Macaca mulatta: one gene and its partners. The protein of the gene in region 4 interacts with the protein of the main gene of each other region in a biochemical or structural test. Links are inferred from orthologs where the notes say so. Each region holds a gene or a part of one and is shown on either strand. Other genes may lie near its edges.

Evidence for each region.
Region 1: the proteins of PARP1 (region 4) and PCNA form a complex in vitro, tested with the Homo sapiens proteins (3 studies listed by BioGRID). The link is inferred for Macaca mulatta from reciprocal best matches to the Homo sapiens genes PARP1 and PCNA.
Region 2: the proteins of PARP1 (region 4) and APLF form a complex in vitro, tested with the Homo sapiens proteins (3 studies listed by BioGRID and IntAct, with this or other methods). The link is inferred for Macaca mulatta from reciprocal best matches to the Homo sapiens genes PARP1 and APLF.
Region 3: the proteins of PARP1 (region 4) and H1-2 form a complex in vitro, tested with the Homo sapiens proteins (2 studies listed by BioGRID, with this or other methods). The link is inferred for Macaca mulatta from reciprocal best matches to the Homo sapiens genes PARP1 and H1-2.
Region 5: of the proteins of PARP1 (region 4) and CHFR, one has a biochemical effect on the other in vitro, tested with the Homo sapiens proteins (2 studies listed by BioGRID). The link is inferred for Macaca mulatta from reciprocal best matches to the Homo sapiens genes PARP1 and CHFR.
Region 6: the proteins of PARP1 (region 4) and ERG form a complex in vitro, tested with the Homo sapiens proteins (2 studies listed by BioGRID and IntAct). The link is inferred for Macaca mulatta from reciprocal best matches to the Homo sapiens genes PARP1 and ERG.
Region 7: the proteins of PARP1 (region 4) and MACROH2A1 form a complex in vitro, tested with the Homo sapiens proteins (2 studies listed by BioGRID). The link is inferred for Macaca mulatta from reciprocal best matches to the Homo sapiens genes PARP1 and MACROH2A1.

Annotation. Positions count from the first base shown.
Region 1 is NC_133415.1:78,833,558-78,837,626, forward strand, and holds the start of PCNA (proliferating cell nuclear antigen), read left to right. Parts: upstream 1-1,269; 5' UTR 1,270-1,461; coding exon 1,462-1,682; intron 1,683-2,394; coding exon 2,395-2,492; intron 2,493-2,583; coding exon 2,584-2,651; intron 2,652-3,925; coding exon 3,926-4,069. UniProt on the Homo sapiens protein: Auxiliary protein of DNA polymerase delta and epsilon, is involved in the control of eukaryotic DNA replication by increasing the polymerase's processibility during elongation of the leading strand.
Region 2 is NC_133418.1:56,275,922-56,279,860, forward strand, and holds the start of APLF (aprataxin and PNK-like factor), read right to left. Parts: upstream 2,801-3,939; 5' UTR 2,621-2,800; coding exon 2,525-2,620; intron 1-2,524. UniProt on the Homo sapiens protein: Histone chaperone involved in single-strand and double-strand DNA break repair.
Region 3 is NC_133409.1:157,052,015-157,055,447, forward strand, and holds H1-2 (histone H1.2), read left to right. Parts: upstream 1-1,217; 5' UTR 1,218-1,259; coding exon 1,260-1,901; 3' UTR 1,902-2,933; downstream 2,934-3,433. UniProt on the Homo sapiens protein: Histone H1 protein binds to linker DNA between nucleosomes forming the macromolecular structure known as the chromatin fiber. Histones H1 are necessary for the condensation of nucleosome chains into higher-order structured fibers.
Region 4 is NC_133406.1:84,124,320-84,127,819, reverse strand, and holds part of PARP1 (poly [ADP-ribose] polymerase 1), read left to right. Parts: intron 1-554; coding exon 555-653; intron 654-1,445; coding exon 1,446-1,598; intron 1,599-2,528; coding exon 2,529-2,656; intron 2,657-3,439; coding exon 3,440-3,500. UniProt on the Homo sapiens protein: Poly-ADP-ribosyltransferase that mediates poly-ADP-ribosylation of proteins and plays a key role in DNA repair.
Region 5 is NC_133416.1:140,240,552-140,244,051, reverse strand, and holds part of CHFR (E3 ubiquitin-protein ligase CHFR), read left to right. Parts: intron 1-976; coding exon 977-1,076; intron 1,077-3,500. UniProt on the Homo sapiens protein: E3 ubiquitin-protein ligase that functions in the antephase checkpoint by actively delaying passage into mitosis in response to microtubule poisons.
Region 6 is NC_133408.1:8,954,632-8,958,902, reverse strand, and holds the start of ERG (transcriptional regulator ERG), read right to left. Parts: upstream 2,801-4,271; 5' UTR 2,613-2,800; coding exon 2,517-2,612; intron 1-2,516. UniProt on the Homo sapiens protein: Transcriptional regulator. May participate in transcriptional regulation through the recruitment of SETDB1 histone methyltransferase and subsequent modification of local chromatin structure.
Region 7 is NC_133411.1:144,247,819-144,251,108, reverse strand, and holds the end of MACROH2A1 (macroH2A.1 histone), read left to right. Parts: intron 1-1,019; exon of another isoform or gene 1,020-1,152; intron 1,153-2,045; coding exon 2,046-2,211; 3' UTR 2,212-2,790; downstream 2,791-3,290. UniProt on the Homo sapiens protein: Variant histone H2A which replaces conventional H2A in a subset of nucleosomes where it represses transcription. Nucleosomes wrap and compact DNA into chromatin, limiting DNA accessibility to the cellular machineries which require DNA as a template.

The DNA of each region.
Region 1 (4,069 bases), on a different chromosome or scaffold from region 4:
AAAAAAAATTGAATTTTTGACACAGATGAGCAATGATTAAAAAATGAGATTGCTAATATCTGTAGTTAGGAAAATAAAGATAAATGAGCATGTTCATACACAGTCTTGGCTAGAATGTAAATTGCAAACTTTTAGAGATTTAGTAACATTTATCAAAAATTTAGCCGGGCATGGTGGCACATGCCTGTAATCCCAGCACTTTGGGAGGCTGAGGCGGGTGATCACCTGAGGTCGGGAGTTCGAGACCAGCCTGGCCAACATGGTGAAACCCCGTCTCTACTAAAAAAAAAAAAAAAAAAAATTAGTCGGGCGCGGTGGTAGGCGCCTGTAATCCCAGCTACTCGGGAGGCTGAGGCAGGAGAATCATTTGAACCTGGGAGGCGGAGGTTGCAGTGAGCCGAGATCGCGCCACTGCACTCCAGCCTGAATGACAGAGCAGGACTCCATCTCAAAAAAAAAGAAAGAAAGAAAAGAAAAAAAATTAAATGTGTACGCTCTTTGACTCAGCTGTATTACTTCAAGGAGTTGATAGCACCAAAATTGCCTAAGTGCTCAAAGGTGTTTGTAATTAACAGGAGATTGATAAGTTACATACATGTGATGCTATCTTTTAAAGAGGTACTGATATAAAAAAGATGTACGTGGCATAAAATTAAATGTACTTTATTAAGTACTTTTTCGAAGTGTTTACGGAATGAGTGCATTTTGAAAAAAAAAAGTGTATTCGAACTTTCAAAAAAGCTTTAAAAGCTTTATACAAGGAACGATTGAGTGATTATAAGAGCTGGCAGTGGAATGTTAAGAGGTGAGAGGGAGCTAAGTTTAACATAACTCTTTATGGTGTGACACTTAGGAGCGCATCACTTTTGTAATTGAAAAATAAAGTGCATATTTGCAGCAGCTGTACTCTTCAGGCTACAAGGAGGCTTTTCCTCCCGGTAGGCTGGATTTGCTTTTCACTTTCACTTTCGTGGCTGGAAACTTTCTACCCACGGAGCTGGAGGCTGAGGAGGCACCATAAAGCTGGGGCTTGACGAACCGGGGCCTGGGCCGGATCCCCACATATGCCCGGACTTGTTCAGTGGTCAGGTTCAGGAGTCAGGCGAAGAGGCGGGGAGACCTGCGGGACGCTGCCCCGCCCTGCACCCGCTTCCTCCAATGTATGTCCTAGGGGGCGGGCCTCGCGGGGAGCATCGGCACGATTGGCCCTAAATTCTAACCCGCCCAGGCCGTGGGCCGGGCAGCGTGGTGACGTCGCAACGCGGCGCAGGGTAAGAGCGCGCGCTGGCGGACGCGGCGGCATTAAACGGTTGCAGGCGTAGCAGACTGGTAGTTCTGTTTCTAGGTCTCAGCTTCTCGTCACGACGTTCGCCCGCTCGCTCTGAGGCTCCTGAAGCGGAAACCGGCTAGACTTTCCTCCTTCCCGCCTGCCTGTAGCCGCGTTGCTGCCACTCCGCCACCATGTTCGAGGCGCGCCTGGTCCAGGGCTCCATCCTGAAGAAGGTGTTGGAGGCCCTCAAGGACCTCATCAACGAGGCCTGCTGGGATATTAGCTCCAGCGGCGTAAATCTGCAGAGCATGGACTCGTCCCACGTCTCCTTGGTGCAGCTCACCCTGCGGTCTGAGGGCTTCGACACCTACCGCTGCGACCGCAACCTGGCTATGGGCGTGAACCTCACCAGGTGAGCCTCGCGGCGTCGAGAAGCCGGCCCCGGCCCACCCCCACCTCCGGGGTTTGGCGGGATCGCTTCCGAGCCGAGCCCTCATTGGCTGGCGTGGACCATCCGCACCTTCTCATTGGCCTGCCATGCAGGGGGGTGGGGCCCAGCTGAGCGCGCGGTTCGGAAAAGCCCGCGCTGGCTGCTGCGCGAACCTGCTTTTTCGCGCCAAAGTCACAAAGCGGGTGGTGGCGGGAAAATGACTGGTTTTTCTGCAGTGCCAGGAACACTGCTCCAGAGCTTTTGCTCACTAAATCCTGTTGGCCTTGAATGGACGCTTTAGTTGTGGCTTTTTTGTTTCCGAGACGGTCTCGATGTGTTGGCCCGGGCTGGTCTCCAACTTCTGGGCTCAGGCGATCCTCCCGGCTCAGTCGCGATTGACTTTAAATGCTTTATAATGTGCCCTTGCGAGAAAAGTGTCAGCCTGTCATCCTACTTAGTGGCAGGAGATTGTTTCTATCCAGAAGGGAAACTGCTGGTGGTATTTTAGTATAAATACTGCCAGATGCATCCCAAAATGTCTGCATTAATATTCGCATCCTCCAGCAGTGCAATTACCCTCCACCAGTTCTGAGACGGCCTATGGGTGAGAGTGGTAACCCCTTCTAACTGCATTAGAAATACAGACCTTCAGTAGATGGTGTTGATTTTAAACCATGTGTCTCCTGTCTTCTAGTATGTCCAAAATACTAAAATGCGCCGGCAATGAAGATATCATTACACTAAGGGCTGAAGATAATGCGGATACCTTGGCGCTAGTATTTGAAGCACCCAGTAAGTCGTACCTTTTTACTGAGTTATGAAGCTACAGAAGATCAAAACTCTGTGCCAGTGTTTCTCAACAGCATTTGCTTTTTTTTGGTAGACCAGGAGAAAGTTTCAGACTATGAAATGAAGTTGATGGATTTGGATGTTGAACAACTTGGAATTCCAGTGAGTATCAGTTTCTGATTGTAGCGACTGCTGTACACAGGCATGATAGTTATATCATAGAATGTTGTTTATTTTTACAGACAGGGTCTTCCTCTTTTCCCCAGGCTGGAGTGCAGTGGTGCCATATAGCTCACTGTAACCTGGGACTCCTGGGCTCAAGCAATCCACTTAGTCTCCTAAGTGGCTAGGAAGGACTACAGATCTGTCCCACCACGCCTGGCTAATTTTTTTATTTTTGTGTGTGGGTGTGGGGGCAGTCTTGCCCAGGCTGGTCTGGAACTCCTGGCCTCAATGATCCTCCTCCGTCAAGATAAGTTAATATAATTTAAGCCTACTTCATAACAGAACTTTTTCTAGAAACATATCTACTGGTGCATGTTTTAAAGAGATTTTAGTATTTGGATAGTTGTTTACCACAAGTCTAAAACTCACTGGTTAAATTTATTGTTTACTGCCAGTTGTCTATTTGCATTAATTTCCATGAACCTCTTTTAAAATTTGCTTCCTTCTAGGATGGTTGGTTTTGTTTTGTTTTGTTTTGTTTTTGAGGCGGAGTCTCGCTCTGTCGCCCAGGCTGGAGTGCTGTGGCCGGATCTCAGCTCACTGCAAGCTCTGCCACCCAGATTTACGCCATTCTCCTGCCTCAGCTTCCCGAGTAGCTGGGACTACAGGCGCCCACCACCTCGCCCGGCTAGTTTTTTTTTTTTTTTTTTTTTTTTTTTTTTTGTATTTTTTAGTAGAGACGGGGTTTCACCAGGTTAGCCAGGATGGTCTCGATCTCCTGACCTTGTGATCCGCCTGTCTCGGCCTTCCAAAGTGCTGGGATTACAGGCTTGAGCCACCGCGCCCGGCCCGATGCTTGATTTTTGTTAAGTGGGTTTGAAAGCTATCTTAGAAGAAATGTATCCAGGTTAGGTTTATAAACACCAAAGGAGAGAAGAAATGTTGGAATGTTGAAAATGCCTAATATCATATTCTCTCGTTTTCTTTTAGAAAATAGTTAGACCTGCTTGCGCCGTCATCATTTCTGTGGCATACTCTAATGTTCTCTTACTTTATCCCTGGAGGATGAGGAGGAGGAGGCGCTTGTTCCCTGGGCAGTGCATTTAATAGCCATTTATTTTTTTTGAGTGGAGTTTGTTAAGAAATTACACGAGTCAGTAATCAGAAAATCTTGATTCTGAGTTGTTTAGATGTTGCCTTTTAAGAAAGTGAGGGTGCCAAATCATTAAATTTCTAACAAGTAACTTTTGGAAAATTTTTGTTCTTAATAGGAACAAGAGTACAGCTGTGTAGTAAAGATGCCTTCTGGTGAATTTGCACGTATATGCCGAGATCTCAGCCATATTGGAGATGCTGTTGTAATTTCCTGTGCAAAAGACGGCGTGAAATTTTCTGCAAGTGGAGAACTTGGAAAT
Region 2 (3,939 bases), on a different chromosome or scaffold from region 4:
GACACAGTCCAGACAAAGCACATTTCTGTCACCATAAATATCCCTCACGTTGCTATTTTATAGCCATATCCATTCCCATCTGCCCTCCTGCCTAATTTTTTAACCTTTGGCAACCACTAATCTGTTCTCCATTTTTGAAATTTTGCAATCTGCAATTTCAATAATGTTATATAAATAGAATTACACAATATGTAATCTTTTGGATTGGCTGTTTTAACTTAAGTTCTCTGAAGATAAATCCTGCTGTAAAACCATCTAACTGATGCCAATCATGAAGCAGAATCAAAATCTAGTAAACAAAGAGCTGGGGTTCTCTGATGACTCACGTGAAAGCAAAGGGCACAAGAAAGATTAAATTTCATTGTCCTTTGTTTGTGACAGGTTTCTCTGTGTTTTCCTACCACCGTAAAAATATAAAAATATTCTCATTGTCAAACTGTTTTACTACTAAGACTATTTTACACAGTGGGATTATAAACTTTTATGTTTGTGTGGCCATCAAGGTTTGTGAAGCTTGTCTCAGAAAAACGTGCCCAATTAAGAAAGTTCAAAATCATCCTTATTTATATTAATCATTTCCAATGTATACCAATTTACAATGAACTTACTGAGTTTTCCACTTAGAACTCAGTCTTCGCTCTCTCACAAAACAAAAATAAGTCTCACTGGAATTCCTGTTGTTGGAAACAGGGGCCCTTATGTTGTGTTTTAACCACTGCGGAGAAGAATCGAGTGCATCTGTCAGCTCCAAAATCGAAAAAACTACAAGGTGATTTGTTTGTTCTCCAAATTTTTCCTTTAACACACTTAGGATGTCATTCATAAGCACTTCTGATACCTGCCAACCTTGGCAACAGAATCTCATCCCTGAATGTTATTTTAAAAGGAAAAGCAAGATCTTGACCAGATAATTGCCCAGCTTTCACTCCCTATCATTTTAAAAAACAGATACCAAATAGGCTCATCTCACATTAGCAAGTCGACAACACAAAGAACAAGCTACAAATAATGAAAGGGTATGCAATCTGTTGCCAAGTTTCTACAACACGGCCCTAAAATTCATCCATCTTTTAACCAGACCCAGGTACTCTACTGGTGACAATGTCTTAAGCAAGTCAAAACTCATTAGTCACCAGACACATGATTACTAGATGAAACACATACTCTAAGTTTCTAACCTACGAATTTAAAAGAAAAACAGAAAAATAAAGCCTCCAGTTCCTTCCAGTGTTTGTAAGGCTAATAAACGACGAAAAAAAAAATTGAAATGATGTTAAACATTTAAATAATCACTTGTCAGTTAAAAAAAAGAACAGCAATTGAGTACTGTCTCAATAACCGTACTACATGCACATGTGTATGTACACAACACACAACACACACACGCCTTTAGGACCAATTTCCATAACACAATCTTAAACTACCACTCCTTTCCCTGCTCCCAGAAGGGACCTAAGGCAAGTACCAATGGTTCCATTTAGACTCTAGAAGTCAATCAGGATAACAGTAAACACTCCTCACTCTTTGGTGTTAGCTCACTGACACAGGTGTCTCCCAGTCCCAAGAGAAAACTCCTAGCGGGCAGGGACCCATGTTCCATTCATCTTTGTATGCCCCACAGTGCTAGAATCTGCAAAATGTTCTACACAGTGAGCACTAAAAAGAAATGCTGAATGTTAAAGAAAAAAATTAAAAACTAGATGTACTTAAGAAGAGCTCTATAGAATTCTGGAATGCAATATGCAAATGTTCTCATTCCTAAACCTCCCAAAGAAGGTAGAGAATATTTAGTTTTGTGGCATTGTGTCCAAAAGCTTATGCATGGACCTTAAATAACGTATGTATGGCTCAATTTTCTCATCTGAACAATGAGGATAATAAAAATACCTGACAGTTAAAGATGTTGGTATAGATAATGTCTCCTTAGACCAATGACTCGAACGCTATACACATTCCTTATTAAGGATTAGCTACTCATTTTACTGGAAATAATAAATAATACAAATAAATAAATAAGGTCCACACAGCTCTGCAAAGGAGACCAAAGCTTAAATTAGCCTAGAAGACATAATATCACGGTTTGGCAAACTTTTCTGTAAAGGGCCAGAGACTACCGTAAATATTTTAGGCTTTACAGGACAAGCCACAATACCCTGAACCCTTGCAGCAATATTCTCCCGGAAAAATTGGTAGGTTTTTTGTTTATATTTTACATTTTAGAATTTAAGAATCATTCTTAGTTCACGGGGCCATACAAACATAGGCTGGATTTGGCCCCCAGACTCTAGTTTGCCAAACCCCGGAAAAGATAATAATGGTAATACAGTCAGTGTTTTTAAAGCAACATAAAGAAATGTTTGTGAATTGCTTAAAGGTAACTGAAAAACTTGCGGCCCCAAACTTATAAAATCCAGACCGGCGGACCAGCGCGGTGGGGAATAGGGCTAGGACTAGGGCCGGTCTTCAGGCGCCGGAGCGGACCTCCACGGCTTTCGGGGTCCGCCGAGCCCCCGCCCACACTTACTCCCAGCAGCGGCCCGCGGCCGATCACAGTCTCCCCGGGCGCCAGGGCCACCCGGGGACCGCCGTCCCGCGGCTGCAGCTCGAAGCCCCCGGGCATGGCGGGCAAGGATTAGGCCCCTTCGCCAGGAGACTGGCCCCTCCGCTGTTTCCGCGGGGAAAGCCCAGGACTTGGGAAAAACAGCGGGGGAGGGCCGCAAAGGCTACCCGCGCCTGCGCCGGTCCTGTCAGAGCCCAGCCCCAGCGCAGTTTCCCGAGTCCCGTCCCTCCACGCCTACTGATGACGCAATCGGGGATTCCCCAGTCACGCCGCCTCAAAATTATTGTTTAAAAACCCCGGCTTATTCCCCACCACCCTTTTCACCTCCCTCCCTTCTTGGAGGACGCCGGGCCTTGTAGTCCTGGCGCCTTTCTTCACTTCCTTTCCCGAGCTAAGACGCCCTGGAAAAAACTACCAATCCCCAAAGGCACTACGCGCCCCCTCTCGGCGCCTGCGCGAGTTCCGAGTCAGCAGGGTGGGGCTTAGGTGGGCGGGAAGAGAAGAGCTATGGGGAAAGATTCGAATTCCGGAGGATTTAAATCGCGGGAGGAGAAGCCATCGCGGCCCAGTAGGTAGGAGGATCTTCCATTCCCGTTGGCTTAGATGTCTACGCTCCCGGGGACGCGGCCCTGACGCAAGCTCAGCCTTCCCTCCGCGGCCTGGAGCCGCAGTGACAGCGCTGACGGTTGTTGTCACTTGTCAGTGCTCCGTGTTCTTGGCTTCCAGCAGCTGCAACCCGCGCAGGACACAAGGAAGGTGGCTCAGATGGGACGTGGGGTGATTAGCCCTGACCCGCGGGATGTGGGCTGAGTGGGGCTCCCGGCCCCACCTTATGCGCTGCCGCCAATCTATCCCTCCGAGTGATAGTTGAAAGGGAGACGAGCTTTTACCTCACTTGAGAGAGAATTCAGCAAAGCTCGATTCATAAAGGAGAAAGGGCAGAAGAGGGGTCGTTTCCAGGCATCCAGGCGAACCTGGACGTAGAAGAAAGATTCCTAGTGGGATTTTAGAACCTCGCCAAGGCATCCCCTGCTGTGAAATTCAAAAACCTTCATTCCCGTTGCAGGAATTCCACAAGGGGAGGCATTTTATTCTCCCAGTAAGATCCTGGGAGAAGTGGATAAACACACCGTAACGTTTAAATACACTGTAACGTTTTCCTAATGTGAGATTCTTTTCAAGAACCTTGTGGTTTGGCTTTGGTTTGTATTGGTGGTGGGAGGGGCCAAGGTGCATGGCAAAAACTTGCTCTTGACTCACTCGTTTTTACCAGTTTGCTTTCTTACTTCCCCCAACCCTCAAGAGGAAGACCTCTGTTGAACACAGACTACAGTTCCAGCCACCACAGCTAATCTGGATCATGAATAGGAACCACCGTG
Region 3 (3,433 bases), on a different chromosome or scaffold from region 4:
GTTTCAGAGGGGAAAAGAAGAGGTGATTTTCAGCTCATCAACAAAAGATCTTATAATAAATTACATGTTCTGGTACTTTTCCTATCTTTCTGTGTAAATTTTTGCTATTTAAAAAATAAATTTCAAATATATTGTTCATCTTAAAAGTCAAGAGTTTGTTTTATTAAAGTCAGTTGCTTTATTTGCAATTCAAAGATATATTTGAGTTTCAAACTGGAGATTGTCCTGTACGGTAACTTGTGTAAGGTGTGGTTATTGAAAGTAACCTCTAATTTTCATGGGCTGAAATTCATCTCTAATATTGCAATGTACAAAAATAAATAAATAAATAAATGCTTGTTTTCTTTGAAAACATATTATCTCAGTGCCTCTAACTGCCAAATCTATTGGCTTTCTTTGCAGGCTTAAGGGATCTCCCTTGTTCCTTTATTATCTCTATCTTGAGAGCCAGACCTCCTGCCTTACACAACTCAGAGGGGGACCTCAGAGCTTTTTAAAAAGAGCCCAATTTCTCGCCTGTAGAGAAGTGAAAAGGATGCCCCGCCCCCATCTATGAAAAGAAGGATTTGATGGTTTCAATGTCTTCAAATCAAAGATTTAAGTCTCTAGCCCCCCACCACACCGGACCCTACCAAGGCTCATGAACCCCCTCCCATCCCTCCCTAATTACTTTGGACTGGCCCTGGAATCCTTGTCCCAGTCCACAGTTCCTGTGCGTCTGCAGGAAGAATTCACACAGGACCTGTGTTACTTCCCTTGTGAAGAAACAGAATTATCATGAAAATTTAGGTGGAAACCATTTCGCTTTTTTTTTCAAAAATAAGGGAAGCATGTGCCCAACCACCCCTGGGAAAAAGAACTTTCAGGGGCAAAGGAGCGAACAGGTAATTTATAAGAAAAACAGAAAGTGGTCTCTGACTGCCCCAGACTTCCTTCGGAGTTGGGGGAATTGGGGACGCCTGGACGCGTTGTTTTTGTGGTTGTGGAAAAAATAAATGAAAAGCCTGAAGCCCGAGGCTTCTGAGATCCTTTCCTGACCAAATCCGGGTGATTTGGTGCAGGGAATTTTAATATTTTTCCCCTTTTGTGAGGTGGAACAAACACAACTTGGGAGCAGCGCAGCGACTCAGAGCCTGCCAGCCAGGCGGGCCACCAGAGCACCAATCAGAGCGCTCCTGCGCTCTATATATACAGCGGCCCTGCCCAAGCGCTGTTTCATCGGCGCTTTGCCACTTGTACCCGAGTTGTTGATCCTCAACATGTCCGAGACTGCTCCTGTCGCTCCCGCTGCCGCGCCTCCGGCGGAGAAAGTCCCCGTAAAGAAGAAAACAGCCAAGAAATCTGGGGGGCCGCCTCGTAAGGCATCTGGTCCCCCGGTGTCAGAGCTCATCACCAAGGCGGTGGCAGCCTCTAAAGAGCGCAGCGGGGTTTCTCTTGCTGCTTTGAAAAAAGCGTTGGCTGCCGCCGGCTATGATGTGGAGAAAAACAACAGCCGAATCAAACTTGGTCTCAAGAGTCTGGTGAGCAAGGGCACTCTGGTGCAGACTAAGGGCACCGGTGCTTCTGGTTCCTTCAAACTTAACAAGAAGGCAGCCTCCGGCGAAACCAAGCCCAAGGTTAAGAAGGTGGGCGCAGCCAAGCCTAAGAAGCCGGTTGGGGCAGCTAAGAAGCCTAGGAAGGCGACTGGCGGCGCTACCCCGAAGAAGAGCGCTAAGAAAACACCGAAGAAGGCGAAGAAGCCGGCCGCGGCCACTGTGACCAAGAAAGTGGCCAAGAGCCCAAAGAAGGCCAAGGTTGCGAAGCCCAAGAAAGCTGCCAAAAGTGCTGCTAAGTCCGTGAAGCCCAAGGCCGCCAAGCCCAAGGTTGTCAAGCCTAAGAAGGCGGCACCCAAGAAGAAATAGGTGGACGCCTGCTTCAAAAAACCCAAAAGGCTCTTTTCAGAGCCACCACTGATCTCAATAAAAGAGCTGGATACTTGTTTTTCTTAGTTGCCCTTGTTCCTTTTCTTGCTCGACCCTGCTCCTTAAGGTTAGTCGAACGGGAACCTTATAAGACAAATAAGTAACGGGGGTTCGAGAGTGGCCGTGGTGAGGTTACGGCGCTTAAACCTTTACTGCGACTTCCATGTCCCTGACTGCTGCTTCGAGGCGTTTCCCGCTGGCGGATGTTTTTGGGATGGCAGTCAGCCACGCCCCAGGCCTGTGAAAGGCAGAAAAGATCGCAAAACAAGAGCCAGTTTCTTCGTCTAAAGGGATATCCGGATTGGACTAAAAAATAATTCAAAAGTCCCGCCCTGCTCCTGGGTTGGTCCGTCGTTCTAGTCCATGACTTTAATTCTATATTTAATTGGATGGTGGCAGACGTTGCTTATTCCGTGTGTGTTGCTTCTCTGTGACTTGAAAGTTTTGCCTCTTGATATTAACGTTCGGGATTTCGGACGCTTTCCATGTTGTAGGTAGTCAAGTTGGTATCTCCTGGAGGTAGTGGCAACATCCAGCCCTGGGAGGAGAGTGCGTGCAGGTACCTTTGTCCTACATTCCTCTGCTGTTAATTTCTCATTCCTGTGGTAACAAAGGAATGCATTTGAATAAACAGCGGCAATAGCCCTTCCTCCACCCAAGGCAATCGTGGACCTAGGGAGCTTTTTGTTTCTCATATCATGCATGTAGTGTTCCGCTAAACTGACAGATTTGAGCGTATCGATTTTGAGCGTATCGAAAGCACAACTTTTAGCCAGCCATTTTGTCCTCGCTTGACGGTTACTTATCCTCAGTTTAGGCAGACATCAACATTTAAAAATCGAAGTTCTTTTAAACACATTTTGTTTGGCAGTCCAAGTGTTTCTACGCGGAGAACGATTTGTACTATTAACTAAAGTATATGGATAAATGAGAGACATTTCTAATAAAGGCCTTCGTTAATGGTTCCCTCTATTTGACACCCATGGTGCTTCTGAATACAGAAAACCTAGCGTCTTATATTCGGTTCTTTTAAAATCTGATAGGCACATTTCGGTGAGACCTAAATTATGTGGACCGGGACTTCTGGAGATAAGCTGCTCAGTTATTCTACCATCTCCACAATGATGAATGTAGTGAGTTAATTTCTCTGTTAGTGATAGTGACCACGGATTCATCCCAAGAAAGGGAGAAAGGGGAGGGAGGCAAGCAGAGAGACAGGGAGGCAGAGGCAGGGAAGAAGGAAAAAGCATTCTCCCATGGGTTAAGTAATTTTGTGTTGTTAATTTTACATTACAACACGGTTTACATGGTGAACTCTATTTTGGTGTAAGGTTTAATATATGGACATATTTTCTCCCAAGACCATTTATGAACTTTCATTTCTGCTTCCCCCTTCTTCCTTCCGTGTCACCCTCCACACTCCTATCAATTTTGGCTATTTTTGTCATAGGCTAATAGGCTAAAATTTCATG
Region 4 (3,500 bases):
GAGGTAGACCAGCATTCCTAGGTTTTCTGAACTTTGAATATAAATATGAAAATAAAACATAACTAGTCTCATCTATAATACTCAGGTTTACTTAGCATAGATTACGTCAGCTATTTGACAGCTGCTTGTTAGGCTTGTGCACTGGGCCAGGGATAATTTTAATTGCACATCATAGCTGTGACTTCCTCTGACCCATTGTGTTTTAACTCATGCTGAGCTGGACTCTCTTCCAGGAGCCAGTTGCTTGTTCTGGAAATGCCCTGCTCACTGACAGTGAGCCCCATATTCCAGCTTCCCTGATATCCCAAAACATAGAATTTTAAGACAAAAAGGAACCCTGAGCCCAAGTAGATGAAGAGGTGGAGGCTCAGGAAAGTGGAGCCACTGGCCCAGGATCTGCCCAGCCCACGGGCCTGGGACACAGGCTCTCGGTCATGCCTGGCTTCCTTTGAGGAGTGTGGTGTTGAGCTGTGCATCGACTGAGCCTGAGCATTCCTCCTCTGTAGCTCTCCTGGGGTCTCCTTTGTGCTAATCCCAAGATTCTGTTTACCCAGGTGGTTGGCAGAGATTCTGAAGAAGCCGAGATCATCAGGAAGTATGTTAAGAACACTCATGCAACCACACACAATGCGTATGACTTGGAAGTCATCGATGTAAGAATCCCTTCTTCCCCCACTTTCTTCTGTGTCCTGCCAGCTTTTCCCTGCCCACTCCTCCAACCTGGGCCTGGGTAGAAAAGAGCAGTTTACTTACTTTAAATAATCCAAAGAAGTGACTCATTTGTTCAGCAGAAAAATTAGTCTTTTTTTTTTTTTTTTTTTTTTTTTTTTTTTGGCATGGAGTCTCACTCTGTCACCCAGGCTGGAGTGCAGTGGTGCAATCCCAGCCCACTGCAACCTTTGCCTCCCGGGTTCAAGTGATTCTCCTGTCTCAGCCTCCAGAGTAGCTGGGATTACAGGCATGCGCCACCACACCCGGCTGATTTTTGTATTTTTAGTAGAGGCAGGGATTCACCATGTTGGCCAGGCTGGTCTTGAACTCCTGACCTCAGGTGATCTGCCTTCCTTGGCCTCCCAAAGTGCTGAGATTATAAAATTAGCATCTTATACAGTAGTTTGGGGATGGCTTTTTATTATGTTTTAAAGGACATTTCCCATCCCCAAACCTGGTCTCAGAACGTACAATTATCAGAGGTCTAAGATAAAGTTCCTCAAGTGCACATCTGCTGCACAGTAATACTAACTAGCAATGGCTGGGCTCTGCTGGGCCAGACCTTGACCTTCCATCCCAGCCTTGTGGAAAACATTTTCTGCATTGCAGCAGACCTTAAGTCTTCTAGCCTTAGGGACAGCCAGTCATTTCTCCTGTGTCCAGTCCTATCTTTCAATCAACCAGAGTAACAAATGGCTTCTTTTGTCCCTCCCTTTGTTTACTACTACAACCAGATCTTTAAGATAGAGCGTGAAGGCGAATGCCAGCGCTACAAGCCCTTTAAGCAGCTTCATAACCGAAGATTGCTGTGGCACGGGTCCAGGACCACCAACTTTGCCGGGATCCTGTCCCAGGGTCTTCGGATAGCCCCGCCTGAAGCACCTGTGGTATGTGCCTGGCCTAGTGAGGGGTGGGCAATACCTGTCTCTGCAGGTGTCTCCATAAAGAACTTTGAGTAAGAGGCCTAGTTGGCTTAGGGGGATTCTGCCAGACATCCTTTCTTTAGGCCTTCACCCTTTTATCCTTCTGACCCTGATCCTGTCAGGAGTTTAAAACACAGTTTCTGGAACAAAGGAGATAGAGCATCCAGGCCAGGGCCTGCTGCAAATGCTAATCGGGTGTGTTGATGAGCAAAGAACAGACACGTGGCTACAGGCCAAGCTGAGTCCAGGCCTACCTCTACCACTTCCCAGCCGGGCCACCTCTTGAGTGTCAGTGTCTTCAGCAGGAAAACGTAGTGATAAATAAGTAAGGCTTTACCCAGACACGAGGGGTCGTGATGCCACCTGCTGGATTCTAGATGGGTCCAGCTGGACAGGGCCTTCCAAGCCTCTAGTTTCACAGTTGTAGAACGAGGAGGAGAGTGGTTTAAATGATTCTCTCTGGTGCTGTGCAGTAGTGTATAACGGGCAAATGGCCTACCCTTTGTGAACCTTGTGTTTCACTTACAAAAGGGAATAAAAATACCAGCCTGCGTTCCTTGGGTGTTGACAGGCACTAGTTTAAGTAACATTGATGAGCTCATTCCATCCTCACAGCAGCTTCATGAGATTATGTTCCCCACTTAAAAGAGGCAAGTAGAGTCCAGAAAGGTTACATAGCTTCTTGCAGCTCCTTGGCACCTGGCAGAGCTAGGATCTGAGCAGCCTGGCTTGTGAGCTAAAACTTTGGTGTTTCCTCAGCATGGGCATTGTGAGAATTAGAAGTGATGGATTGCAGCACTTAGCTGGGTGGCTTGCTCATGTTGGCACTCAGTGAACAGCTGCTCCTGATTTCCCATCAGAAGATTCTCAGCTGTCCCTTTTCCAACCTTCCAGACAGGCTACATGTTTGGTAAAGGGATCTATTTCGCTGACATGGTCTCCAAGAGTGCCAACTACTGCCATACGTCTCAGGGAGACCCAATAGGCTTAATCGTGTTGGGAGAAGTTGCCCTTGGAAACATGTGAGTAAACCTGGCTCTGGGACCGATGGCATTTCATGGGGACAGATGGAATGGGCTATAGGCAGAACTCCCTTTGGCTGGGAGAGTGGAAATTCCCCACTACGTTACTGGACCTGCCAATTAGGATTCTTTTCTTGTAAATAACAGAATCCAATTCAAGTTAAGGGAACAAGGGAGATACAAGGATACTTCAGGAAATGCAAGGGCAGGAACGCAGCCAGGCCTCCAGAGCTGGCAGTGTCTTCTCTCCACGGACTGGGAAGCAGAGAGATTGAGTTGCACAAAGGATGATCCCCCAATGGCCTCCTCCTCCACTCAGCAGTGTTTCAGTTTTCTTAGACCAACCCAAATAGAACTGGAATCTTAATCCCACTTCCAGATTCTCCACAGAGAAAGATCTGATTAGTCCAGCTTGATTTGGACATCCACCCTAGTCCTGTGAACTGTAACCAAAAGCACAGGGTCATGTAAACAGCCAGGGGTCTGGGGACTGTGGAAAGCGGACAGAAACCCAGAGCTGCCGTTCACCACTCCATATAGGGCCTTTCCTTGAAAATGGCCCCATAGCAGTGATCGCTGGGCACAGACTATGTTCAGCCGCAACCGCAGCTTCAGGTTCTGGAGCAGTTCCAGAAACTCGGGAGGAAGCCTGAGCAGTTAAGATGGTCTGGGTTTTGTGGGCTTTTATCTCATCTCTATATCTGATCTTATTCTCCTAATCAAACTGTTGGTTTTGAGAGCACAGTGTGAAAGCCTCTTCTGAGCCCGTCCTCTTTTGAATAGGTATGAACTGAAGCACGCTTCACATATCAGCAAGTTACCCAAGGGGAAGCACAGTGTCAAA
Region 5 (3,500 bases), on a different chromosome or scaffold from region 4:
GTCATTCTATGTGGAACATTTGGGAAAAGTAATTTGCATGGCACTGTCGCCTGACCAAACCCTTCACTTTTTAATTGCCTTTAGTGTCTTATAGTATCTCTATGTATCCTTATAGATTACTATAAGCAGTAATGATTAATGATGAGATATTAAAAGCCTTTGTTCTTTTTTCTTTTCTTTTGAGACGGAGTTTCATTCTTTTTGCCCAGGCCGGAGTGCAATGGCATGATCTCAGCTCACAGCAACCTCCGCCTCCCAGGTTCAAGCGATTCTCCTGCCTCAGCCTCCCAAGTAGCTGGAATTACAGGCGCCTGCCACCATGCCTGGCTAATGTTTGTATTTTCAGCTTGGCCAGGCTGGTCTCGAACTCATGACCTTGTGATCTGTCTGCCTCGGCCTCCCAAGGTGCTGAGATTACAAGTGTGAGCCTCTGTGCCCGGCTGTAAAATTGTCATTTGAGAGGCTGTGTGTAGCTGGAGGTGTTGATGGGTGTCTTTGAGAGGGTGGGGATTCAGAAAGGTTCAGGACGGGCCGGGCGCGGTGGCTCATGCCTGTAATCCCAGCACTTTGGGAGGCCGAGGGGAGTGGATTGCGAGGTCAGGAGATCGAGACCATCCTGGCTAACACGGTGAAACCCCATCTTTACTAAAAATACAAAAAATTAGCCAGGCATGGTGGTGGGTGCCTGTAGTCCCAGCTACTTGGGAGGCTGAGGCAGGAGAATGGTGTGAACCCGGGAGGTGGAGCTTGTAGTGAGCTGAGATTGCGCCACTGCACTCCAGCCTGGGCAACAAAGCAAGACTCTGTCTAAAAAAAAAAAAAATTTGTTTTTCATAACTGTCTTGGTTAAGTGTTTTTCTTACATATGTACAAGGGGGATCCTGAGTTTGAACCACATACTTTGGTAAAGCAAAGGGCATTAGGGTTCACAGTTCCCACAGTCATATTCCATGTCATCCCACCCTGTCTTTTGTAGGTTGCGACCTTTCGTTCCCCGGCAATAAACTGGTCTCTGGAGATCACTGTAAAATTGTAGTGGATGAAAAATCAGGTCAGGTGACACTGGAAGATACCAGGTGAGTATGTTCTGAGCTTCTTTTGGTGTTTCTTCTTGTACCTTAAGAAGCCCGACTCCGTGCTAGTGTGCTGTGTGCCACGGCCGAGGAGCAGAAGAAATGCTGTCTTTGGTGTGATAACAGCACAGTCGTGTCCCTTAGCAACACGGATACAGTCTGAGAAATGTGTCATTAGACAATTCCATCATCTTGCAAACATCATGGAGTATGCTTAAACAAAACCTGGTGGTATAGCCTACTACGTACCTAGGCTACATGGTGCAGCCTGTTGCTCCCAGGCTGGAAACCTGAACAGCGTGCCACTGAACTGAATGCTATAGGCAGTGGTAACACCACGGTAAAAGTATTTATCTATCTAAACATGGAAAAGGTGCAGTAGAAATAGGATATTTTAGTCTTATGGGACTACTACCGTGTATGTATCTGTTGAACAAAACGTTATTATCAGGCCGGACGTGGTGGCTCACCTGTAATCCCAGCACTTTGGGAGGCTGAGGCAGGCAGATGAGGTCAGGAACTCGAGCCCAGCCTGGCCAACATGGAGAAACCTCGTCTCTATTAAAAATATAAAAATTAGCTGGGCATAGTGGCATGCACCTGTAATCCCATCTACTCGGGAGGCTGAGACAGGAGAATCACTTGAACCTGGGAGGTGGAGGTTGCGGTAAGCTGAGATGGTGCCATTGCACTCCAGCCTGAGAAGCGAGTGAAACTCCGTCTCAAAACAAAACAAAACAAAAGTTATTATCTGGGACATGACTGTAGTTAATTAGGCTCCCAAGGTATAAGAAGACGTATTTCCTGGTTTCCAGGATGGGACACTTAGTGACACTTTGGTATCTATGACCCTTCTTGAATGTATTCAAATTAAATATGTCTCAGAAATAAGACTTAAAAGATGCTCGTAATTTTTAGTTCTTGCAAGCCTATTCAGGTTTGATTTCTTTCCCTCAAATCCAAAAATCGTTTTTTAAAACTAATAAATTCTCGTTCTTGTACAACTTAAGTACAGATTGAGTATCTGAAATGATTGGGACTAGAGTGTTTAGATTTTGAATTTTTTCAGATTTTAGAATATTTGCATTATAATTACCAATTGAGCGTGTCTGATTCAAAATTCTGAAATGCTCCAGTGGGTATTTTTGAGTGTCTTATTGGTGCTCAAAAAGTTTAGGACTTCAGATATCTGATTAAGGACATTCAGCTTAGGGATATTCAACTTAGAAAGTGGAAAGCTTTCCAAAATCCCGTTCATACATTAGAAATACATGTGCAGGTGGCCGGGCGCGGTGGCTCAAGCCTGTAATCCCAGCACTTTGGGAGACCGGGACGGGCGGATCACAAGGTCAGGAGTTCGAGACCATCCTGGCGAACACGGTGAAACCCCGTCTCTACTAAAAAATACAAAAAACTAGCCAGGCGAGGCGGCGGGCACCTGTAGTCCCAGCTACTCGGGAGGCTGAGGCAGGAGAATGGCGTAAACCCGGGAGGCGGAGCTTGCAGTGAGCTGAGATCTGGCCACTGCACTCCAGCCTGGGCGACAGAGCCAGACTCCGTCTCAAAAAAAAAAAAAAAAAAAAGAAATACATGTGCAGGTATATATATTTTGCATTAATGCGATTACGCTACGCATACTGTTGTAGCGTCAGCTTTTTTCTTCTTCTTTTTTTTTTTTTTGAGATGGAGTTTCACTCTGTCACAGGCTGGAGTGCAGTGGTGCAATCTCGGCTCACTGCAGCCTCCACGTCCCAAGTTCCAGTGATTCTCCTGCCTCAGCCTCCCGTGTGGCTGGCATTATAGGCACGCACTACCACACCCAGCTAATTTTTTTGTGTTTTTAGTAGAGACGGGATTTCACCGTGTTGGCCAGGCTGGTCTCAAACTCCTGATCTCGGGTGATGCGCCTCCAAAGTGCTGGGATTACAGGCATGAGCCACTGCGCCCGGCACTCACGCCTGTAATCCCAGCACTTTGGGAGGCCGAGGGGAGTGGATTGAGAGCTTTTTTCACTTACAGTGTTGTGTGGAGCGCTTCACATGTCCCTGCGTCTGCATCTATCTCATCTTCTTGTCATTTTAGGATAGTTTCTTTGTCACTTCCCTTATTGGTGGACATTTATTGTTTTGACTTTTTCTTACTATAAATAACACTGCAGTGACTCTTTCCCAAACTCTGCTTTCATGTCTGTTTTCTTGGGATGATTCTTGAAAGGGAAACCTGTGTCAGTGTCACTCAGAATGTGCCTATTCCGTTTTTTTTTCTTTTTTGAGATGGAGTTTCGCTCTGTAGCTCAGGCTGGAGTGCAGTTGGTGTGATCTCGACTCACTGCAACCTCTGCCACCCGGATTCAAGCGATTCTTCTGCCTCAGCCTCCTGAGTAACTGGGATTACAGGTGCACGCCACCACGCCCGGCTCAGATGGGG
Region 6 (4,271 bases), on a different chromosome or scaffold from region 4:
GTACTAGGGTGCCCTCAGATCTCCACCAAGCCTTGTTAGTAACTTTCCACATCCTGATTTTTAAGATGCTTTCCCCTAACGCTGCTGCCGGCTGCTGGCTCTCTCCACATCCTTCAATGTCAGATCTCTGTGATGACGGAAAATCCCCCACATTCCCTTTTTACACAGTAAGGATCTTTCTAGGATCAGAACTTGCAACCTGGGGTTCATGTTCTCCTTAAAAGGTCCAGGGAGAGAACTGTATTTCTGTTGTAATTCTATGTATTTCTTTTTATGCACCTGAAAGTATTATTCTGAGAAAGGACTGTAGGCTTCATTAGACTTCCCAAATTGCAGATGGCATTAAAAAAAAAAAAAGGAATCAGGAAAGTCTTTGGGAAATTAGGCTAAAACTCCTAACTGAAGCACAATCGGGTTTTCAGGGCAACAGCAGGATTCCTGGAGTCTGTAGCAAACACTGAGCTGTTTGTGCGGACAGTGGAGCCGGTGAGGTTCAGCACCTGTCAATATTGTCAGATGTCATGAACGCCCAAGGGAAGCACCAAAACCGATCCGTGAATTGTCTGCAAACCATCGGCTTTGTTGCTTCCAAGTCTTTACTAGAACTCTTCAGCTGATCTTAAAATTCACAGACACTTAGACGTAAATGAGCACTCTCACATAAGTTCCCAAAATTCCAAAATTGCTTTACTTCTTCCAGTTGAAATATTTTGTTCTCAATTTCAAGTTGCCAAGGAAAAATGATGGTAAGAATCACAAAGACTGGATAAGAATATTTAGCTTTTCATAGTGCCTCATAGGGTCTTACAAATGTTAATGCAAAAAAATAAAAACTCCACTCAAATGCAGAAAACCAACAACAAATTCAGAGCATCTGATACCTAATCGACTAACTGATTTATTTACTGAAACAACAACAAAAAAACAGAGTGCATTGGAGACTGGAAATTGCCTCTATGGGGGACTGTTTCCTAATTCCAGTGGACAGCCATAATTTTCCCTACGCTAATTTGGGCTTTGCGCTAATGTAATTAAAACTGTAGTCAACAGACTCAGGATCTCCTTTTTCCACTCTATAAACAAGGCTGTAAAATCATCTCATTACTTTACCCAGGAAATCTAACAGAAACATGTCTTAAAGGAAGTCACCTATAAAGAGGGACTATTTTAACAGAAGATTAAAAAAAAAATTCACCTGCAGCATTCTAAAGGTTCACTTGGGTACGTACAATAAACACATAATGCAATGGAATAAAATGTTAAATCAAGCATAGTATCTTAGACGAGTGTAAACTATTTTTCCAAAAAATCATTCAGAAAATCAAAAAATATTCAAACTTTCAAAATAGCTTCATGTATTCATAAATGTATATTTTAAATTAAACTGTATAACATATTTGGATGTTTTGCAAAATGTACCTACCTTCTAAAGGATGGTCTGTTATTTCAATGTCCTTTTTAATGCACTAATTTTGGGGGGAAAAAACACATAAGATTGTACCCAAGCTATTCAAGATTGACACAGAATATTTGATTTAACAAACACGAATATAAATAAGGATGAAAACAAGAACAAAAAAAGATAGCAATTTGTGTCACAAAATCAAGTAATTTCTATTCATGCAGCTAAAAGTAGGGCACATTAACCCTCAATTTTATAATTCCTTTCTACAGGAGCCATATTTCAGCAGATTCCAATCCTTGAAGCCAAAGAAAGAAAAGTCTCTATAAGGTGAAAGTTCTTGGTACACAGATTTTTAATATATTATTGAACACACCTTGAGAAATAAAAGCTGAACTTCTGAAACACAGTTTCTATGGTACATATGAGTCAAATCTAATACAAACATTTCAAATTATGAAAATACCAAACCAAAGAATATTTTTGAAAATGCCTTGGCCCAATTCTGGGCACACTTCCATTTTCTTATGCACTTTCCAACGAACTGAAAGCCTCATGAAGCCTCATGAAAACACCACCAAATGCTTTTCACCTTCACGCAGCAAAACTAAAGACATGCAACAAATACAATTTTCTTTTTCCTCCACTCAGTATCTGCTTTTGCTGCTGATTTTTTTACATTCCTACAAATGTCACGAAGATATGGTGGCCTTTAAAACAACGGAACAGACCCCCACTCAAGACTGCATGCCCCTAGACTTGCAGTCACCATTAAATTGGCTTTGTTTCCAGGAATCAGGCCATATTTAGGATTGTACCTGTGCAGACTGACCTCCACGTTAATCTCTATATGCTATCTACTAAAAACGTAGGCAAGGAAACGCATCAGACCAAACACCCCAGAGCCCAGAGAACCGACCGGCCATTGCTTTCCAACCCCACAAACCTAACCATCGCTAGGAAGAAATCTTACTCACGGTGCACAGAGAGCAGGTATTTTATTGAAGATAAACATAGAACAGAACAAACCAAATTACCCCCGTTTGAGTTACGAGAACACTCAGTTCTCAGCATGGATGTCCCCCAAATCAAGTCAACATTTGCATCCCATTACCAGCAGCCACTTGCCGAGTATCTCTTCGCTTCCATGGGGACTGCCTGGCATCCCTGATGCTAAGGAGCCACCGAAGAACCTCCAAATGTCCGACATTCACAAACCCATCTTTTGCTTTGACCTGACCCTTCAACCTCTCCGAGTCTGCTGCCTTTTCTCAGACACACATCCAGGCACCGTTAGGGATAGTTAGAGAATCAGAAGATTCAGAAGCGCTCCGAAAAGCCTTTCCAAAAGTAATCCACAGCACTCAACAGTGAATTTAGAAACCCCAATTTTTTTCTGAGTTTGAAGTTTTTAAGCCTTGCGGATGGTTGGAGTAGGAAAAAGGAAATTTACTAGGCAGTGCAAAGGAAATCTTGTTGTCCTCTATTGTGGCAGTGGGGGTGTTGCCCAACCCTAACTTATCTGCCTTGATAAAGGAAACCAAAGAAAAGAGTAACAAGAACAAGATTTTGTCAAATTAAAAGGAACCCTTTCCTTACCTTAATAGTGCTGGCCATAATGCAATCAAGTTTATTGATCGTTAATAAATGTTAATAATAATTATTGCTTCTCTCTGACCAGAAAGTAGTTTTGATGAGGTTGTTTAGAGCGGATGAGATTGTGCTAAGTCTGGGAAATGAAGTCAGCCAATGGCAGGAAGAGGTTTCTATTGGTCCTGGCTGTCCAGCCCAAAGAAACAGGATATTTGGGAGTGGAGAGATAAGAGACCCTGAAAACAATGTTGTTTTTCTTGATGATATGCAGCCAGGAGATTTTTTTTTTTTAATTAAAAAAAGAAAAGGCATCAATTGGGATGGCGACTGCCACAGCAGGTGTGACCGGTGTGCCGCCGTGTGACACACTGCACTGAGACCAAGGCAGGATGCAGATGTGATGGGACTCCGCATGGCTTCACATGGGCTGCAAGCACCTTGGAACCAAGGCGTTGAGGGCACCCCACTGCCCCGGGTGCCAGCCCTTCACAGCCCAATTCTTCGCAGAATTACTAGGACAGAGGACTTGAGCTCCTTTCTCCTAAAAGGAAACTTTGCAGGTGGTGTTTATTTCATGTTAATAGATGGCCATGTTCAGTAACAGCCATTGCTTGGCTGATTTTTAACAACCTATATTTATTCAACATTTCATATGAGTGTTCCAGAACAGTTTCATTTTCTCCTTCCAAATCCTTGCACTTTTTATTTGCTCTACAACAAAGTTGTTGAAAACGCGAGGACTCTAGGCTTATAGTAAACAAGAAAAATAAAGAGGAAAAATAAACCTACCCAAGTCTTGTTTTCAAGTATTTACTTAAAATCCAAACAACTGAAATGGCTACAAACGTCCCGGAATGTCAGCGAGCTGGTCTCACTCTGACAGACATCCATGTTGCAGACAACAGATCCTCACAGAACTTTTGGCTACCCAGAGATGCCATGTGAGGGCCCCATGACATGTTTAAAATCCAAGCTATAAGTTCAGGGTCACAGGTCTGTTTTCTCCTCGAAGGAAGTACAGCAAATGCAGGCCTGAACATTCCTTAGAGGGTTTCAGGACTCTAATTACTCATTTTCAGGAAATTGCTTGGAAGAAACATTTTGCTTTGAATCTAGCTACAGGAACGCAGGACCCATAAAGAGGTGTGGTCTCAATAGGGACCCGAAGAACACAATAGACCAAATCCTGAGTCATCTGGCAATTCCTGGTCGCAGAGTTGGACGTTCAGTAAATGGATTTCACTCAGACTTTAGGCCAGCATGTGTCAGAGTTCTG
Region 7 (3,290 bases), on a different chromosome or scaffold from region 4:
AACTGCTATTTGCAGCAGTTCCACAGGCCCTCAGCCCAGCCCCCTGTGCGCACGTGAGGCTGAGACAGGCAGGAGGGCACCTCACTGCAGGAACCTTGGAGCTGGCAGAGCATAGTCTTGGGCTTCACATGCAGAAAGCAACTTCTCACAGCTCCTCTCAGCACCCTGCAGCCCCCGTTCATCCAGGTCACATCCACAGACGGGGTTCTGCCTGCTCCAGAAGCTCTTGGCCCCTTGGCTCAAGTGCAGGCTGCAACAGGACTGAGGAGCCCAGCCCATATCTGGAAGCAGCCTGAGCTGCTGGAAAGATGCCCCCAAAAATGGAAGACTGAGTTTATCTCCTCAAGCAGTTCCCAACATGGCTCAATCCAGATAACCTGTGCTCTGTGCTCCTTGACTCCTGTGACTATAGTGAAGGCAGCTGTGCCTGGTGTGGGCCAAGATTTCAGATCTGCAAACGGCACTGGTGCCAGAGGAATGACCTGTCTGCTCTCAGCAGAGCCCTTTTCCTTCATTATACATGACACCCACCATCCTGGCCCACCTATTGGTCTAGAATCACCAGGATCTCCCAGGAGGAAGCTGCACAGGTCTAACACCACTCTTGTGGCCAGAGCGGCTCTGGAGCTCTGACGCCTCTCATGGGCAGGGTTGTATGCACTGGCTGCTGCTCTGTGGGTGTGCTCTGTGGCTGAGGAGCTGCCACCTGTGTGTGAAGGAACCGTGGGTTGCCCCCCACTAATTAATTGCCTGCAGGCTCCTTCACATAGGCTGAGGGCACATCTCTTGTCCTCTAAGAGGGAACTCCACTCCCGAGGCATCCAGAAGCTCCTAAGTCTCCACAAGCTGGAAGCCGTGTATGGTCAAAAGCAAGTCACAAGAGGGTTTCCCCTGTGGCTGTCAAATGCACTGTGCACTGTCAACAGTGGACCACTGAGGTGCTCCAGGGCCAAGCCAGGAGGTTCAGAATGCACAGGCATGCAGTGAGTGAGGCTAGCAGTACTACAGTAGATGCCTACCTTACACCTCTGGAAACCCCTCCACCTGGCAGCAGGTGCCTCATGTGAAGAACTCCAGCTGAAATAGGCGGACTGGCCCAGTGCCTTGGACACCAACACACCCACAGTCTCAGGTGGATCGATGACCGTAGATCTGCCAGTGAACAAAGAGCCACCCATGAGAGCTGGCCCCAGACTCACCCTCAGTATCCTTAACTAAAATGGGACCAGTAAGGGATGTGAATCCAGGGCCACTGGCTCTAAACCCAGGTTTTCACTAGAGTAGGCAAGCTGCCTATCTCCTCCTGGGTCTCCTGGGCTACCCACATGCCATGCTGACCAGGAGCAGCCTCAGGCACACCACAGAGCAGTGAGGGCCAGTCCCGATTTCACATTTTTAAATCCAGAGCATCTACCTCCAGAAATTGCCACATGACATTTGAAGCGGAAGTGTATGTGGATTCAAATACATATGGCTTGGAAACTTGGATGATAGCCCTGAGTTGAAGAGCCCACTGCTCCCTGCGTTGTGGCCTCTGGGGTGGTACCGCTGGTGTGTGTTAGAGGGTGATTCCTGGGCAGTGGCCCCTGGTATGAAGGGGTAACTCTTCTGTGTGGGTGGATAGAGGTCAGTGCCTTCCCAGAGAACCTGCAGCCATTCCCTGGGGCTGACATCGAGAGCCTGGGCTATGGCTCAGGCACTGTGCTAGTCAAATGCATGACGGAAAAAGAAAATCAGGAGCTCACACTGCACTTCGGGGGCTTAATGCACACCACAAAACACTATTCTGTTTGTTGGCTGCTGCCTTCTCTGAAAGCACATAGCACGTCCTTCTGCAGGTGCCAGCTCTCTGTCCAGTTGTCTGTCCCCCGTCCCGTCTTCTGGGCACTGGGCTTTCCCACGCTGGTATACAAACAGACACAGGGCTCAACAGACACGGACCCAATACACAGCAAGCTGCAGCACAGAGGTGGCCCGTAGGGTGGGGCTGGTCCCGCGGTCCCCATGGCATCCCAGTTGCTGAGTGCTTGTTTTCTCTTCTCCAGGAACGGTTTTCCAAAGCAGACAGCAGCTCAGCTGATTCTGAAGGCCATCTCCAGTTACTTCGTGTCCACAATGTCCTCTTCCATCAAAACGGTGTACTTCGTGCTTTTTGACAGCGAGAGTATAGGCATCTACGTGCAGGAAATGGCCAAGCTGGACGCCAACTAGGCTGAGCAACGACAGAACCAGCTGCACCATGTACCCCACCTCCAATTTAAAAGAAAAAAAAATCCCCTTCACTCCTACTGGGAGGTGGGACCCCTTTCATTTTCAGTTTTGCTCATCTAGGGAAAATAAGGCTTTGGTTTCCAGTTCAATTGTTTTTGACCTTCTAAAATGTTTTTATGTTAGCACTGATAGTTGGCATTACTGTTGTTAAGCACTGTGTTCCAGACCGTGTCTGACTTAGTGTAACCTAGGAGATTTTATAGTTTTATTTTAATGAAACCCTAATTGACGCACAGCAGTGGGGAGAACAGCGTCTTTTACTTGTCGCCGAAGCCAGGAAGCCCCGTTTGTAACCGTGTGTTGTGGTGCTTTATCGTACACCCAGTGGCGTTCTTTTTACTCTAATGTTCTTTTTTTTTCCCCCTCAGAAGAATCATGAATTTGCAACAGACCTAATTTTTGGTTACTTTTTGTCTTAATGATGGATTTGAAAATGGAAGATTTAATAAGGCAAAGCAGAATCTGTTGTCCTTAATTATATTTGCAATTTGGAATTTGTGTGAGTTGATTTAGTAAAATGTTAAACTGTTGTTGTGACTGGTGTGTTTCAGTTATTGTGCCTGTGAGTCGCGGGTCCTAAGTTGGCCTCTGCAGTCACAGGATGTGGGAGCAGGGCAGCCCATTCCCCTCAACCCTTGCCCTGCCCCCACAACTCCTTGGATGCTCCACAGTGTTCAGTGCAACCTGGGTGGGTGTGGGCCATCTGCTGGTCTCAGTGGTTTGTAGAGAGAATTTTTATAAAGCCTCACCTTTTGGTTCTGTGGGACCCTTGGGCCAGGGTGTTATCCCCATTCCACAGATGAAGGAGGGAGTATATCAAGAGCCATGCAGGTGGCATGTGGCAGGCTGGCGCAGAGCCAGGGCTCCAGACCCTGAGCCCAGCTCTCTCCTTACCATTGTCCCCTTCTGACAGTCTCTGGCTCAGGGCTGGGCCTGGCCACTTGCTGATGGAGCTGCCGGAGCCTCATGCCCTCTGCCGGGACTGCTGGGTCTGTCATCCCTGCAGGACGGGATCCCTG